Linked DNA regions of Macaca mulatta. The protein of the gene in region 2 purifies or fractionates together with the protein of the main gene of each other region. This does not show direct contact. Links are inferred from orthologs where the notes say so. Each region holds a gene or a part of one and is shown on either strand. Other genes may lie near its edges.

Evidence for each region. The genes of interacting proteins can lie anywhere in the genome.
Region 1: the proteins of CTNNB1 (region 2) and HERC5 purify together in Homo sapiens (affinity purification with western blotting; 3 studies listed by BioGRID). This does not show direct contact. The link is inferred for Macaca mulatta from reciprocal best matches to the Homo sapiens genes CTNNB1 and HERC5.

What each region holds. Positions count from the first base shown.
Region 1 is NC_133410.1:97,791,389-97,795,039, forward strand, and holds part of HERC5 (E3 ISG15--protein ligase HERC5), read left to right. Parts: intron 1-739; coding exon 740-799; intron 800-2,757; coding exon 2,758-2,851; intron 2,852-3,651.
Region 2 is NC_133407.1:104,572,490-104,576,140, reverse strand, and holds part of CTNNB1 (catenin beta-1), read right to left. Parts: intron 635-3,651; coding exon 531-634; intron 447-530; coding exon 108-446; intron 1-107. UniProt on the Homo sapiens protein: Key downstream component of the canonical Wnt signaling pathway.

The DNA of each region.
Region 1 (3,651 bases), on a different chromosome or scaffold from region 2:
TTTACTGCAGGGCTTCTCCAGGCCTCTGTTTATGTATATTGTGACTCTCTGGCCAGAAAATACAGTCTATAGTGTTCCCCAGTCCCATTCGATACTGGAACCATTAGTTTGTGTTCCTGTTATTCTTAGCCAAACAATTTGTACCATTCTTCTCTAAACCATAGAACTCCTACAGTCTTATAGAACTCCTGCCTATTCTTACAAACATCATCTTTTAGAAATATTTTAAAGTATGACTTTCTAATTCTGGAAAATGATTGTACAAAATGGTTGCACAAAATAATTGCATCATAATTTGCAAGCATAAATAATTAAGAACTGTACAACTACTGCTAAGATGAAACTCAGCATACTTCTTCCCCCATTTAATTTCTGGTAATTTATTTTGTTTCTACTTCAATGGAATAGAAATAAATAGGACTTGCATAGTTGGTGGGGTGGGAGTATTTTGTTTGTTCAAGAAAGTTCTGACCATAAATCAAGCCTTTCCTCTTTATTTGAGGCTTCTCTTAGTATGTATAAACTTTTTTATTTCCCATGTTTGCCACTGAAATTTTGAGATTTACCAAACAGAATGGACTTTTGGAAGCCAAGATAATATGCGTACAGATAGGAGACAAATGGAGAGGTTAGAAGGATTGTTATAAGATGTTGTATTTATCATGTTTCATGCTATAAAGAGGCTGTGTGTATGTATACCATGTGATTTGGTTTAACCAGTGTCTTATTACTAATACAGGGAAATCCAAGAGATATTTTCATCTCCTGCTTGTCTAACTGGAAGTTTTTTAAGGAAAAGGTAATATATGTAATAAATTAATTGTATTAAATTGTATTAAGAGTACCATGAAAGAGGATAAAAAATGATTGGAGGGTAAAATAATTAGCTGTGTGTTCGTCCCTTTCTAAAAATTGTTTTTTAACAAAAGTAAATATATGCTTGCTGTAGAAAATGTCAAAAATACATACAATAAAAAGAAAGTGAAAATCTTCCATAATCCATCACATAAGAGTAATAGCTAGCACTTATGTATATTATTTTTTCATGCAAATGTATTCTTTTACAAAAAATGAGATCATACTGGTTTTTTGTTTTTGTTTTTTGAGACAGGGTGTTACCCTGTCGTTGCCCATGCTGGAATGCAGTTGTGTGATCTTGGCTCATTGTAACCTTCGCCTCCCAGGCTGTAGCAATCCTCCCACCTCAGCCTGAGTAGCTGGGGCTTCAGACATATGGCACTACACACAGCTAATTTTTTTATTTTTTTGTAGAGCCAGAGTTTTACCATGTTGGCCAGGCTGGTTTCGAACTCCTGAACTCAGGCAATTTACCAGCCTTGGCCTCCCCAAGTGCTGGGATTTCAGGCGTAAGCCACCATGCCCAGCTGGATCACATTGTTTATACGTTGTTTTATACTTAATGTTTGCCCATTTTACATTTTGTTCTATCTTTTTTGGTATACATATGTGTGTGTGTGTGTGTATGTATGTATGTATGTATATATATATATATATATATATATATATATATATATATATGTATTTTTTTTTTTTTGAGACAAGGTCTCCTGGAGTTACAGCATCATGGTTCTTGGGCTTAAGCATCATCAAACTCTTGGGCTCAAGCAATACTCCCACCTTAGCCTTCCACGTAGCTGGGACTACAGGCATGTGCCACCATCTCCTGCTAATTTTTTAACTTTTGTAAAGACAGCAGCTTTGCTATGTTGCCCAGGCTGGTCTTGAACTCCTGGCCTCAAGCAGTCCTCCCACCTCAGCCTCCCAGTGTTGAGATTATAGGTGTGAGCTACCACACGCAGCCGGTAACATAATTTTAATGGCCTCATGACCTTCCATTAGAAGGTCTTCCATGAGAAGATACTTAAACATTTCATTAATGACTTTATATTGAAGTACTAAGAAATTATTGGTCAGAAGCTCCCTCTTTTGGTTCCCACTTTTCAGTCCATTTAACTGGAAAAAATGGATGTATTTTTTAGAAATGGGAAAAACCTTTATCTTTTTTCTGTGGAGCTCCTTCCTTCCTTCCGTCCTTCCGTCCTTCCTTCCTTCCGTCCTTCCTTCCTGTGGTTGGTCCTTCCTTCCTGTGGTTGGTCCTTCCTTCCTGTGGTTGGTCCTTCCTTCGTTCCTTCGAAAAACATTTATCTTTTTTCTATGGCCCACCCTTCGTCCCTCCCTCCCTTCCTTCCCTCCCTTCCTTCCTTCCTCCCTTCCTTCCTTTCTTCCTTCCTTCCTTCCTTCCTTCCTTCCTTCCTTCCTTCCTTTCCTTCCTTTCCTTCCTTTCCTTCCTTTCCTTCCTTTCCTTCCTTTCCTTCCTTTCCTTCCTTTCCTTCCTTTCCTTCCTTTCTGAGGCAGGGTCTCGCTCTGTCACCCAGGCTGGAGTACAGTGGCATGTTCACAACTCACTGCAGCCTTGACCTCTCAAGCTCGAGCAATTCTCCTGTCTCAGCCTCCCTCTGTGGCTATTTTTTTTAAACTGAGAAATATTTATTTTTTTAATCTATTACAGATAAGACAGCATCTGAGTTAAAGTCTTATGGTATATATAGTTAAAGCAGCCTTGATATTTTTTGGTATTTTAGAAAAAATCATGTTGTTTACTACATTGCATTTGTATTTAGACAATTATAGTTATACATGAGAAAAAATGTAATTTTGTTGAAATGGGGCAAGCTCTGGAAGAAACTTTGCATCTAGAGAGATAATCTAACAAGATACTTAATTTATCTTCTACAGAAGAACTACAGAAATGATGCCTGTTTATTTGGACTTAAATAAAGCAAGAAACATCTTCAAGGAGTTAACCCAAAAGGACTGGATTACTAACATGGTATCTTCAGATTGTTATGTGGAGAAAGAAAATAGACCAGAATATTTCTTATAAGAACTCAAAATTTCAGAAGAAATGTTTTGTGTTAAGGGATTCTCCGAGACCTTGTAGCATATTCAGATTAAGTTAAACTCAGATAACAATTAGGAGTTTGCCCTTTTAGGGTGAAATAATTGGCATAGTAGTCACACAGGTTACAAATATTCTAAATAATGTGTCTGTACACAAACACACATGCACATATATGCATACACATTCCTAGAGGGAGGGAAGTTTTTCAACTCAGGGCTTTAGGAAGATGATTAAGGATTTGTTGAGATTGGCACACTAGAATAAGAACATTTTATGTGCAATCCTTTTAAGCGTAAATGTAGAAATAAGAACATTTTTTCTGATATGAATATCCTTCTCACCAGGGACTGCCTGGATTCTTTGTTTTTTTTTTTCCATTCCACTTTTCTGTAGATTCTAGAATGTTCTTGTTCTTTATGGGATGATTGCTTCCTGTTTCAGCACTGTTAGTACTATCTTTAAGTTTTTTTTCTTGCAGGTGCTCCGAACATGCTTCCTTTATTTTTATTTTTATTTTTTTGGAGATGGAGTCTCGCTCTGTCGCCCACACTGGAGTGCAGTGGCACAATCTCGGCTCACTGCATGCTTCCTTTATTAATTTAGTTTTTCTTAATGTAGTCTTTATTATTTCCCTGTTTTTTTGTACTGGTTGATATAGGGATACTACTTTCTGTTCTTTTCTCCATTTTTTTCTCTCTGGGTCTCACTGTAGTTCCTTCTTTTTTTCT
Region 2 (3,651 bases):
AAGGAATACAATTCCTATTTATTGATCACTATGCTTAGCCATCCAACGGCTAGAGATGCTTCATTTTCAATTCTGCAACAAAGGTAAATTCTACTTTGACAATTTACCTTTATCAGAGGCCAGTGGGATGGTGGGTGTAAGAGCTTAACCACAACTGGTAGTCCATAGTGAAGGCGAACTGCATTCTGGGCCATCTCTGCTTCTTGGTGTCGGCTGGTCAGATGACGAAGAGCACAGATGGCAGGCTCAGTGATGTCTTCCCTGTCACCAGCCCGAAGGACAGTACGCACAAGAGCCTCTATACCACCCACTTGGCAGACCATCATCTTATTCTTATAATTATTGCAAGTGAGGTTAGAAAGAATTCCAGCTGCACAGGTGACCACATTTATATCATCTGAACCCAGAAGCTGAACAAGAGTCCCAAGGAGACCTTCCATCCCTTCCTATGAAGATAAAAACAAATGGTCAGTACAAGCACATACTCATCTTGACTCTATTCCCATGGCGTCAATTTACTCAGAATTTACCTGTTTAGTTGCAGCATCTGAAAGATTCCTGAGAGTCCAAAGACAGTTCTGAACAAGACGTTGACTTGGATCTGTCAGGTGAAGTCCTAAAGCTTGCATTCCACCTAGAAAATTAAAAAGGATGTAAGACCCTAGTCATTAGCTAGAAGTTGCTATCAATCCTAAATATATTTTCTAGTCTTAGAAGGTGTCCTTCTTTATTTCCAGAGTTTACTTCCTTTTACCTAAGTATTTGTTTTCCTCTCATTTTCTAGAATGTTGCTCAGTTTCCCTCGTTTTGCCAGTTCACATCGCTAGTGACAAATTGTCAAATAGCTACTGTTCCTTTCCTAAGCCGAAGAAGTCTTTGTTATCTCCACTATCCCCCTTAGGTAATATATTTTTTTTTGAGACGGAGTCTCGCTCTGTCGCCCAGGCTGGAGTGCAGTGGCACAATCTCGGCTCCCTGCAACCTCTGCCTCCCGGGTTCATGCCATTCTCCTGCCTCAGCCTCCCGAGCAACTGGGACTACAGGCACCCGGCTAATTTTTTATATTTTTTAGTAGAGACAGGGTTTCACCATGTTAGCCAGGATGGTCTCGATCACCTGACCTTGTGATCCGCCTGCCTTGGCCTCCCAAAGCGCTGAGATTACAGGCATGAGAGCCACCACGCCCAGCGGTAATATTCTTATTAATTTCTTTTCATCCATTCAATCATTTCAAAAATATTTATTCACTATCAGGTCCTGTTCTGAGCTGGAGATAGACCAGTGAGCAAAAATATTCAAAAGTTCCTACCCTCAGAACTTATGATCTAGTTGGAAGAGGCAGACAACAAATATACAATAAACTAAAACCATACAGTAGGTCAGATGATATTAAAGGGCTATGGAGAAAAACAATGGAGTGGGGCTGCAATTTTAAGTAATTAGGTCACCTCACTGTGAAGGTGACATCTGACTAAAGACCTAAAGAAGCTAGGTAAATTTCTGGGGTAAGAACAATCCAGAAAGTCGGCATGAAAACACTTTACTGCCAGGGACTTTATACAGTTCACTGACTGCAATACATGTGTTCCAAGGTTCACGACCTTCCAATCCTTTAGGACCCTTAAATGGGGGACATTTACTCTGGCAAAGGAGTATAAATGGAAACCCAATGCCCACATACTAGATTAACTTCACCCCTCCATCTTCAACTTAAACCACTTCTAAATGCAGTAAGAGATACTTTTCCTTGTCTCCTTCATCTTTTAGGTCTGTTTTATTTCCTCAGATGAAGTCTATTTGCTGTAATTCTTACGGTACCCTGCACTTCTCCTTCATAGTATAAGTTAGTCCACTTTCCCTACAAGACAAAGATCACCTCTATTGGGTTCCTTTTTCATAGTAGCTCCAGCTACTAATAGAAGGATCTGCATAAGATTGATACTCAGGATGCTCAGTATTTGTGAAATGACTACCTTCTTTCCCCTCATTAAGACTTCATTCCCTCCCTTTACATAACTATTAACTCTGAGAATGGATTTTAACCCCAGATGTCCATCAGAATGGCCTACAGAGACTTTAAAACACACACATTCTGTTTCAGCAGTTCTAGGGTAAAAAAAGTCCCATGCAGATGACTCTGTGGCATCTCTATCTCCCGTTCCCTGCTGCCCTTACCCCTATATACTAAAAGGGAAACTTCCAAATCTCTAGCCTGTCTCTCTTGCATTCTCTAGTACCTTACATTTCCAGCTACCTACTGACCTTTTAGTCACTTTAAGTCAGCTTCGTTTTTTTTTTTTTTTTTTTTTGAGATGGTGTCGCTTAGGCTGGAGTGCAGTGGCGCGATCTTGGCTCACTGCAAGCTCCGCCTCCCGGGTTCATGCCATTCTCCTTCTCCTGCCTCAGCCTCCCCAGTAGCTGGGACTACAGGCGCCCACCACCATGCCTGGCTAAATGGCTAATTTTTTGTATTTTTAGTAGAGACGAGGTTTCACCGTGTTAGCCAGGATGCCTCGATCTGACCTGGTGATCCACCTGCCTCAGCCTCCCAAAGTGCTGGGATTACAGGCGTGAGCCACCACGCCCGGCCTAAGTCAGCTTCTTAAATTATTATGTTCAAAAATTAAGGATGCCTTCTGAGGGTTCCATTTATCTTCATGGTACCAATACTGTCCCCTCCACAAACCATTTTTGGTTGCTCCCTTAGCTCCTATATTATTACATTCTGTGATTCTTTCAGACATCTCAGACATTTGCCCTTAGCTATTTAGTTCTAAAACCAAACTATTTGATTCCTAAAAGCCTATAACATCTCAGCAGTCTGGTCTTCTACCTTTTGGTCATTCAAACTGTTAATCTAAACAATGCTATTATTAATATTTTAAACACACCACTGTGATGCTTTGCTATTGATCAACAACCATCAAAAGTGTCTCGGCATCCTTTTAAGATAGCAGACAATACTTTAGTATAACCCCGAGAAACCGTTTAGAATTTGGATCCCACCTAGCCTTCCAAACTGACCAAGTATTCTGTATCTATGGCTCCAAAGCTGGAATAAAGCATGAATAAACTCCATGAGTAGTAAACATCTTATAGGAACCTAGAAAGTCCTGCATGTTATGGCTCTGCTTACCTAACCTCAACCTCATACCAGGCCATCCACCTCATTACTTACTAAGTTCTGTTTACACAGACCTTCTCTTCAGCACCTGGATCTCCACAATCTCTTTCCTTCTAAGGCAAGCTTGTCCAACCTGCAGCCCATGGGCCACGTGGCCCAGGACAGCTCTGAATGTAGCCCAACACAAATTCGTAAACTTTCTTAAAACATTATGAGATTCTTTTGCAATTTTTTGTTTGTTTGTTTTAGCTCATCAGCTATCATTAGTGTATTTGGTGTGTAGTCCAAGACAATTACTCTTCTTCCAATGTGGCCCAGGGGAGCCAAAAGACTGGATACCCCTGGTTCTAAAGACACAGCACATGGTGTTCCTTTTCTCTACCTGGAAAACATTTAACCCTCACTTCTCATACAGACAAGAGAAAGGTTCCTTCTCATCCTGCAGTCCCACTTATCCCCTTTTCAAGGAGACCCTTTCCCTCTCATCTAATTAGACAATTCCCCTCCCCATTAATTCTTATCACTAT